2 linked regions of the Caenorhabditis elegans genome follow. The protein of the gene in region 1 purifies or fractionates together with the protein of each later gene. This does not show direct contact. Each region holds a gene or a part of one and is shown on either strand. Other genes may lie near its edges. The genes, in order: daf-8 and nhr-69.

Evidence for each region.
Region 2: the proteins of daf-8 (region 1) and nhr-69 purify together in Caenorhabditis elegans (affinity purification with western blotting, with the first as the bait; one study listed by BioGRID). This does not show direct contact.

Annotation. Positions count from the first base shown.
Region 1 is NC_003279.8:8,583,923-8,589,419, reverse strand, and holds daf-8 (Smad protein daf-8), read left to right. Parts: upstream 1-1,912; 5' UTR 1,913-1,930; coding exon 1,931-2,023; intron 2,024-2,583; coding exon 2,584-3,060; intron 3,061-3,257; coding exon 3,258-3,457; intron 3,458-3,661; coding exon 3,662-4,054; intron 4,055-4,177; coding exon 4,178-4,461; intron 4,462-4,670; coding exon 4,671-4,864; 3' UTR 4,865-4,996; downstream 4,997-5,497. UniProt on the Caenorhabditis elegans protein: Probably a receptor-regulated SMAD (R-SMAD) that is an intracellular signal transducer and transcriptional modulator activated by TGF-beta-like daf-7 signaling.
Region 2 is NC_003279.8:9,878,492-9,883,243, reverse strand, and holds nhr-69 (Nuclear hormone receptor family member nhr-69), read left to right. Parts: upstream 1-1,739; 5' UTR 1,740-1,750; coding exon 1,751-1,907; intron 1,908-2,012; coding exon 2,013-2,078; intron 2,079-2,127; coding exon 2,128-2,270; intron 2,271-2,486; coding exon 2,487-2,642; intron 2,643-2,836; coding exon 2,837-2,982; intron 2,983-3,037; coding exon 3,038-3,217; intron 3,218-3,264; coding exon 3,265-3,370; intron 3,371-3,415; coding exon 3,416-3,514; intron 3,515-3,785; coding exon 3,786-3,854; 3' UTR 3,855-4,061; downstream 4,062-4,752. Other genes in the region: inx-20 (Innexin), read right to left, coding at 4,125-4,261, 4,601-4,693, 4,739-4,752. UniProt on the Caenorhabditis elegans protein: Orphan nuclear receptor which, in cooperation with R-SMAD daf-8, modulates the Insulin/IGF-1-like signaling (IIS) pathway, perhaps by regulating expression of the potassium channel exp-2, which in turn modulates the secretion of insulin-like peptide daf-28.

The sequences.
Region 1 (5,497 bases):
AATATACTCTTATAGGAGAGAGCTCTTAACTATTCACATGTACGAAAAATAATAATATTTGCCAATTTTCTCGCTCTCAAAATTCCATTTGAAAGAGAGAAAAAACTGTTCTCGATACACGAAGAAACATGCGATATATGTTAATCATAAAACCTTCTAACTTTTTATGTCAGTTTCTATTCTCTTCTCGATTCTCTTTACTTACGAATTCTCTTTCTTCTTCTACCCTTCATCTGTTTTGCTCGTTGTGCAATTGTCAGGAGACATTTAATCCGAGTTAATCAAGAATTTTCGAAATTTATCTGAATCCGATTTTGTTTCTCTTCAAAGTCAGAAGAAATCATAAAAATAATATAAAAGAGGAAGAGGATTATACAAATTTAGAAACATTATTCATTCTTTTTAATCATGATATCTCAAAGGATGTTGTTTACTTCAACTTTTGAAAGGATTTTATAGATAAATTGTTATGATTATTTACTTGTTTTGTTTCTTCCTCCAGTATTTAATCTGTGGTCACTTCGTGGTCTTCAAGGCTTTAGGTTCAGCTCATTTTGGTTGTTTAATAGTAAGTCATATGATACGAAGATTCACAGAATGATTTGATAATAATAATAATACGAAATCTCTTTTTCTATAATATTCTCAGAATGTCATACTTCTATAGAATTTATAAATACATTATTACTGTTTTGAAAACCTTTTTTTCCTAATCTATTCGCCGTCAATTTGGCGTTCTTCTAACATTCAGTATTCGAAATCAATGTTCAAAATTTGCTTAGAGAACACCCCAAAATTAGGTTCCGTCCATATCTTGGCTTTTTTCGCCGCCAGATTCAGAAAAAAACTGATTTTCTGTGAGTTCTATTCTATTTTTTTAATTTCTTAAACAATTGGAAATGGTACAGTGTGTTATAAAATAGTTTATTTATTCTGGTTCCTCATGAGAGCACCTCAATAAAAAGTAGTGACGTACATCCATCTGAAACAAAAATAACAATATGACGCCTTCTTAGTAGTACTTATGTTAGTTTCTATTAATGGACTTTTTTTTAAAATAAAAACTCAAAATAGTCAAAGAAATTCTAAAAATGGACATTTGCTAAAATTTAAGAGAAACGATTTCAAAAGATGAAATTATACTTTCCTCCCAACTTTTTTGCTTTTGATAAATTGCTGGCCGAGTTATAACTATTTCTAGGTCACGTATCAGAAGCCGGGTGAGTCTTGAGATCTTCGTGATGCCTTGTCATATCTAAATGAACGAAACTTGAATAAATTAATTAGGAGTCATCGGCTTCATTGAGTTCAGAAAAATTCTGTATAAAACAAAATCAAGATTCAGGTAAATATCTAGATTTTCGATCATTTTGGAACCGCGTTCCTGATATCGAAAAAACTTCGAATCCATTTAAAAGTTGAATAAATCAAATGAAAACTTCCTCTCATTTTTCTTCATTTCTCTCTCTATTTTTCCTTGATTTTATAGGTGATGACGATTCTGATCAACACAAAAATCTTATCACAAACTGTTGTTTCTTATCATTTTTTACACGTTCATACCAGTTTTCATTCCGAGTTCTTGAATTTCATAATTCTTTCATTTCGCCTTTCTATGTAGATATTGAAACTCCGCCCATTTGAGTAGCTCACCTGACTCTTATGACTTACCAGAAGGTTCTATTATCATTTTGGATATAATTCTGTTTTCTGATTCAAATTTTTTTTGAATTTCGGCAATGCACAACGAAAAATATTAATTTCATATATAAAATCATCTGTACTATTTATTATTCTTTATCCCAAATCAGTCCTTTTTTGTGGTCGTTGCTTTTTAAGCTCGGCCCATTTTTTTGGATTTTATTCTAGCCTAACATCTCCTCCCATATTTTTTTTAATTCTTCGAAATTTCAGTTTTAAAACTACGAAAATGGACGATTTTCCTTCACCAGAACCTACTGATCCCAGACTTGAGGCAATGGCTCAAAAAGTGTTAGAAGAAACTATTATCACTGAAGGAGATGTATGTTTTTGAAGATTTGAAACTTTTTTTTTGAATTTTCAACACAAATAGTCTCGCTGGCTACTTTTAAAAATTAAAAAGCCATCTGCAAATTTTAAATTTCATATTCTAGGCCAGCCGGCGAGCAAGTAAGTGAACAAGAAACTTTAAAAAAGAGCAGAGTTGAGAGATACCGTATCTTGATCAAACATCAAATGTCCAGACATATTAGCGAATTTTTATTTTAAAATATTTAGAATCAACCTACATAAACATTAACTTATACGTTTTCTAATTTTAGAATGTGTCTCTCAAATTAGCCTTTTCTTTTAAAACAGGAAACAATTTTTTTTCAAAAATAGTAATACTTAAAGAAACTGAAAGGATATTTACGACAAAAGGTTTTAATGTATGTTGGAGACTCGAAAAGATCCAAAAAAAAAATAAAGAGAAAATTACAGGAAAAGAGAAAAGCCCATATCTTGTTTTTTAAATTTTGTTATAGTAAACTTTTCCTAAGAAATTCAAATCCTTAAAATTGCCCTATTTGAAGTGTCAAGCTATCCTCAACTATTTTTTAGGGAACAATCTACTGGGCTCTCAAAGTTACCCGATTACTCTCTAGAGTAGCTAAAAAACACCAGTGCTTTGAAGCTTTCTACGATGCCGTTATTAAAGGTGATCCAAAAACACGATGCTGTCCTGCACACAATGAGAAACTCATTGGAAACTTTGGACGAGCTATCATGTGTGTCTTGAGAGCATTCAGATTTCCGGTTATTCGATATGAATCTCAAGTGAAATCAATATTAACGTGTCGACATGCATTCAATTCCCATAGTCGGAATGTTTGTCTGAATCCGTATCATTATCGATGGGTTGAACTACCGACGTGCCAAGTTCCACCAATTATTGTAAATAAGGAATTGGATTACGGTGAACCTCCGATTCGGACTGAGGATGCACTGGATGATTGGAATCAAAAGGATTTGAAAGAGGAACAGGTGGTTGCAAGTTGGGATGTGCCAAATGTGACGATGAGAGGAGATGAAATTAAGGTTTGTTGAGAGATGATATCCCTTTTTGAACTCTTTCCAAAATGCAAAATCCAGTAAATAAGTTGCAATTAATCTTTTTTTTTCTTTAGAAATTTTGGAAATTTGCAAACTTACCAAAAACGTTGACTGAAATATTTGCACGTATTTCTACAAAACATCCACTGTCACCCCCTCACATTCAAAAATAAAAATTTCAGCTTCTCTATGATCGATATGCAGCTGAAAACGGAGATTTTCAATATATGAATTACGGAAATTTTGGCTCTTTTGATGGAAGTCCGTGTAGCTCTACCACGATGTCATTAGGATCATCTTTCGCATCGTTACTGCAACAAAGTAATCGACAAGACGACGAGGAACCCGGATATTATAGATCTGGACTCTCATCTCCAGCTAGGTACGAATTTCACTTTTTTGGAATTTTTTTGTTTTTACAATACTGATTCAACAATCTAAAGAACTGGCTAAACTGAAAGTAGAATTCGAAATTCGACCTAAAGGTTGAAAAAAAAATTAAATTTGGCGGTCGGGCCGACGAAACTGTTGAATATTGGAAAAAATTGAAATATTAGTTTAGATCTATAAAACTTTAAATTTACAGTCATGCAGCTTCTCCTCGAGAGTTTATTCCAAACGGAAATGATACAATAAGTCTGGATCAAGAAATGATGGATGATTCCGAAGTTAGTGACATCATGCATTCCGAGAATTTTTCATCAGAGAACAATGGAAACCGAAAGCCAACGTATGCAGATGGACGGCCTATCACACCAATTGAACCTCGACCACTCTATCGATCTTCGGCATTAGAACTTGGAGATCTGTCACGACAGGCTGGAATATATGAATGTGTAGAATATGAAGAGTCGCCGAGTTGGCTGAAATTAATTTATTATGAAGAAGGAACGATGATTGGAGAGAAAGCCGATGTAGAAGGGCATCACTGCCTGATCGATGGATTTACAGCTAGTCGCACTGACTCAGAAACCAGAAGGTTTGTATCATTGACAGAAGCCCTGGTCTAGAACTTACACGCATCTGAATTTTAACTACATTCACTAGTGTACACTGAACTAAAACATAAATTCAAGTAAATATCAAAATAACATCATTACAGCCGTTTCTCGCTTGGTTGGTACAACAATCCAAACCGCTCTCCACAAACGGCCGAAGTTCGTGGTCTCATTGGAAAGGGTGTTCGATTTTACTTGTTAGCTGGTGAAGTCTATGTAGAGAATTTGTGCAATATTCCTGTTTTTGTACAGTCAATCGGTGCAAATATGAAGAATGGTTTCCAATTGAATACTGTATCAAAGTTGCCTCCAACTGGAACTATGAAAGTTTTTGACATGAGATTATTCTCCAAACAGCTGAGAACAGCAGCTGAGAAGACATATCAAGGTGAGAGTGAATTAGTAATTTCTATTATATCATATTACTTTTCGTCCAAAGTACGGCTATTGTGCGATATATCAAAATTGTCAACTAAAAATAATTTATAAAAAGTTTTTGACATTTTTTGGTGTATAGTTTTTACCGATGCAACTTTCGGAGAATACGAATTCTCAAACCTTCTAGTCAGCTACATTTTTTTTCTTCCAACATTTCAGACGTCTACTGTCTCTCACGAATGTGCACAGTTCGTGTTTCGTTCTGCAAAGGTTGGGGAGAACACTATCGTCGTTCAACCGTCCTCCGATCGCCTGTTTGGTTTCAGGCTCATTTGAATAATCCGATGCATTGGGTCGATAGTGTACTCACTTGTATGGGAGCTCCACCACGTATATGTTCATCCAGAACTTAGCTTCTTTCTTTGCCAAAATCCTAATCTCCAATTTGCGTGTGATCAATTTTGTTGATAGAGAAAGGTTTTTATTTTACTCTAAAACATCAAAACGAGTTTTAAAATTTTTTATTTAAAAATTTAGATTTTAAACTTTTTCTGTGTATTTTTACATTGTTTTTGAGGGCTTTAGAACTGCTCGAGATTTCTTTTTGCAGCTTTTAAACGACTTATGTCAACTTTAAAAGTGTTTACAGTAGCCAAATATTCTAGAATCCTTGGAAATGTAATTTTGGTCTGATTTTTTCCGATCGAGCTTGATGGATTAAATTTAATATTATCAAAAAAAAAAACACTTTCAAAAAGCTGCCAGGATATTCACTTAAATATAAACCCCCTAAAATCCTTGGAAATCATCAAAATAGTTATCCGAGCAGTTTTACGTCCGTCGAAAGTAGTGCACAGTTACGCTTAAAATGTTTCAGATCGAAATTTTATTTATCCAGAAAGTGGCTTAGAGTTTTACAGTGATCTGTTTTCAATAAGTAATTTAGTATTTAAAAAAAGTTTCGTTTTGATATTGGAGCGTGAAATCAAAACCTTTTCTTGCGAGAGTGGAGCACTTTACTTGTGAAAGGATCGGTTGAAAGGAGG
Region 2 (4,752 bases), 1.3 Mb from region 1:
TGCATTCTGACGGGAAGCGCGGTGTTTCGTGCGATTTTCAAACAATGTTTGCGATTTTTGAGCGAAAGATACGGTGCCGGGTCTTGACACGACAAAAAAAATGATAAAAATTAACAGAGAAACTGAGAAAATACACGAGTGAAAAACACAATCTCATGGGAAATTTATAAAAATAAGAATTTAACAAAAGTTTGTCGTGCCGAGACCGGCTACCGTATTTTCGGCGCAATAATACCCGACAGTTCATAAGCCGGGTTTTTCAGAATGGGAGTCAAAAAAGGGTTACTGTAGCAGTAGTGTCCAATACATTCGCTTGTAAAGTACGGTACAAGGTGACCATCGGAAAGAACGGAAAATGTGAGAAGCTATTAAAATTACAATAAATCACATTTTTGAGATATCTGTTGTTTTCCATAACTCTTCATATTCATATTATTTCAAGTAAAAATCAGTTTGTCAAAATCAAAAAACAAACATCAAAAAACAAAAACTATAAAGATTCATTTTTTTGATAGTTTTTGACATTAACTACGTTGATTTTAACCGAATCTATCTAAATAAGTCAACCAGGCGAGTTTTAATGTTAAATTCAAAAAATTTAGCAAAAATGCTCGAAAAATTCAGCTGAAAATTGAAAAATCCTATTCTCCTCGAGAGACTGCGTAAATCCATCGCGACCAGCTCTTCCATTTCTAGACATGAGTTCGGAAGCCCGGGATTTGTAAAACCTGTAAATGAACCAAATCATTCTCAACCCCTCCCGTTCGAACTTCGAATGAGCTGCGTTTTCTTAAACTGAAATTCCAGAAATTACAGTCGTCTTTCAATATTGTATTCCCGATCTCTGCAAGACCCTTATCAGTCCTTCTATAAATTTCTCATTTTCTCTACCCACTCTCTCATTTTATAATTGTCTTTTCGTCGTTTCTTTCACATGTTTGTCACTTCTTTGCCCCCTTCTTCCCGCCATTCTTATCAAACACCCATCATACGCTCTCCAATACAATGTATTCTTTTTCTTCTTTTTCCAATCATTTTCCTGCTTCTTCATACTCTCTTTTTTTGTTCTTCACACACGTTTTAAGGATCATTGACAATTTGAAATCAGGAAGATCAGTTTTTATGAAGTCGGGTACAAAGAAGGATAGACTAAACTAGAATTTTGTTCTAGAAAAGTTTCAACTAGAAATTGAGATACTTTATTAAATGTTCAGATTTGAAAAATCTCTATGTTTTCCACCCTGGCATATACATATATACCGACATACGTGCCTACAGGCCAATGGCGCGCGGAATATGCCCACCAGTAATTCTACATGAGCCAGGGAGTTCTCATAGTATCTGAAATTTGAAAATGGAGGTAAAAAATTAGGCAAATTGCAACTTTCGAACAGTTTTTCGGACGAATAAAGGTTATTTTCCAATAAAACAAAAAATGCGATATATTCTGTCACCAAATTTAAATAAAAAATATCGAGAGAACATGCCACACTGGTTTGCTTTAGGTTTCCTATTCCTGCATTTCTGTAAATTAAATTATGTCTTTTCATGAGTAGGTGGTCTTCAAAGCTGCCTTGTAGGCACGTAGGTAGGCCTATCTAGGCTTAGATCTATGTAAGATCTAGTTTTTGGACATCTAATTTGAATTTAAACTTGCTCATCAAATATTCTATTCCGCTTCTTCCTACTTTTTATTATTGATTCATATTATCTAATAGAGCACAATTACATAAATATTTAGACAAAAAGTATGGTCGAAGAAATATGTCATATTTGCAACGACAAATCAACTGGTAAACACTACGGGGCAATCAGTTGTGATGGATGTAAAGGATTCTTTCGACGAAGTATTCGCAAACGATATCATTATCAATGCAGATTTGAACAAAATTGTGATGTTACCAAAAGTATGTTTATAGTTTTTAAAGTTTTTGGGCCGTTGGTTTCTGAAATTTCCAAAAGCAAGTCGGTCCTCCAATGTAATAAATATGTAATATTTCCTCTTATTTCAGATAAACGGAACGCATGTCGAGCATGTAGACTTCAAAAATGTGTAAAAGCGGGAATGAAGAGTAATGGTGAGATCATTCCAATACTTTTTTATAAAAATAGCCTGTACTATTTCAGCAATTCAAAATGAACGGGATGCAATTGGAAAACGGAAAAAGACTACGGGAGCTGAAAAAGAAGATTTGATAGATCAACTTGTTGCCGCAGAAACATTATGTCAGCAATTAAGGTCCAGTGTAATCAAGAATACATCTTCACTTGTAAGTTTGATTGGGATTAAACGCAGTGCTTCAAATTTCGTCAAGAGGGATTTCTTTCAATTTGGAAAGTTCTTGATTTTCTTTACTTAAGAAACACGGTTTAATTATGCCGGAATTTGTACCTGGTGGTTCTTTTTCCGCCCCCAGAAAAATCTGTTTTCTAGTTTCACCTCTTGATCTCAGTCAATAATCACATTGAATCCACGTGTTTTACAGGCACCATACGACTGTGGAAAAGTTAAATGGAATTATGAAGATGCGAGAGCTGCCACATTGGATGATATTGGAAAATCGATTCATCAACAATTGGTTCTTTTTATCGAATGGGCGAAGTCATTACCTCAATTCTCGTTTTTGGCTCAAGCAGATCAGGTATGATTTTTTTTCTATGAAAAATTTCAGAAAAATATTTGTTAGATGATTTTTTTTTTGATAAAATCAAAAACAACAGAGATATTATTTAGCTGTCATAGTAGCGAGTTTAATACTGAAAATACTGCAATTACTTGTTTCATACTTTCTTTTTTAAAAAATGACGACTTCTAGCAACAATTTCATAATTCCAGGCAGCTCTTCTCAAAGGCGGTGCCGCGTCAATAATTGTACTTGGAGTAGCATATCGATCGATTTGTCTGACAGTTGAAAATACAATTTGCCTTGCAAATGACACACTTCTTCCAAAAGAACATGCAACACAAGTGGGAGATATCAAGTGAGTATATTCTCATTTCATATCTGTATTCTCAGGTTTTGTACAGTCATTTCAGTTGTGTCGTCGGACGAATTATTGATGAAATTGTGAATCCAATGAGGAGGTTAAATATGGATTTAATTGAATATGTTGCACTGAAAGCTATTCTGTTTTTCAATCCAGTCGTCAGAGAAATCAACGATCAGAGTCCGGTGGAGAACGCCCGATATGCTTTTTTGAGGTCATTGCAGAGAAGGTTTATTTGACAATACTAGCTTCTATAACAAATGTAATATATTTCAGGTGTACTGACAAGGCACTTGAAAATATGGAAGACGAATCAATGGATTGCAGAAGTGGAAAGCTTTTGTTATTACTTCCATCACTTCAGGCTATTGCTCAACAATTGGTTAGTTACAATTGTTATTCAAATTAGTAATTTATGAATTTAAAGGTAGAAGATGTCCAACTTGCTCGTTTGTTCGGTCTCGTGAATGTCGATTCGTTAATGGAAGAACTTATTCTAAATGATATGAAACCTTCAGATCCACAGGTAATTTTTATTTTGAAAAGCAGAACAATGAAAGGAATATCTTAGTTATTGGCAACTTTCAAAACCTAAATCCTGAGCCCGGGGAATTTTATTTCAAACTCTTCCAAATGTGGAATATGCACAACAAATTTTGTTTAGTCTATCTAAGGAGAATAGGTCAATAAATATGCGGATTTCTTTTGTGCTTTGTGACTGTTAAGCTTATGGTGGTTTTGTGGAAGACCCTAATAAGTTCCAGAGACAATTTCAATCTCACAATTTTTGTTTTCAGATATTACAAACGAGTCTGGCATCACCGGTGAACTCGTCCGTTAAAGCAGAAGTTGAATTGGAAGAATAGTTTCCAATTTTCCAATATTTTATATTCAAGAGACCATAATCTCATCTTGCCTCCCTTCCTGCTCAAACCATCTAAATACTTCCAAACTTTGACTTCTAGAAATCGGGTCCCAACGGACACATTACTTACCTGCTCAAACCACCTCATTGTTTCCTTTTTCTATGTTGGTTTTATTATTATTTTAATAATTATTATTTCATGTCATGCAAATATTTGAAATTGTAACAACAATTAATTCGGTATCAGGAAAACAACAAAATATTGAAATTATTATACATTCGCAGCTGAAGCCATTCGGCTGCTTGGAGGTCGAAGGAATTGAGGAGCTGGTGTAGTTGGAGATTGATCCAAATGTAAATCTTCTCGACTCATGAGAGGAACCAAAACTGATGTTTTCCGTCGCAGACCTGAAAAGGGTGCATAGTATTCAGGCAAATGAGAACAAGTCTAAAATGTATTTATTTTTCATAAGCTATGAATGATACTAACACCTCTCGGAAATAGTTTCTCTTTGAAACTGACTCAAATTTTGCGAGACTCTTTTTTAACCGGATCATACTTTTTTAAACGGCAGAACAAATTTGCATTAACTAGATGAGCACCTTTATGATAATCAGTCTGAACATCTAGGTCTAGCCATCACAAAAAAAGACCGAGAATGCGTAATTCCAAATTGTTCGGTGGAAGAAAATGCATGATTCTTAGTACGCTTGGTCAGGTAATTCACTACGTTCTTGAAAACTTACTTGGTTCAATAGATAAACCACCAGCAGAAGCAGATCTATCATAGTCGTCACCGTAACTTTTATCTTCCAAAATCTCTCTGATTGTTGCATGTCCTAAAAATATATCCTATAAAAGAATATAATTCAAGTTCTACTAACCTGATTCTTGTAAA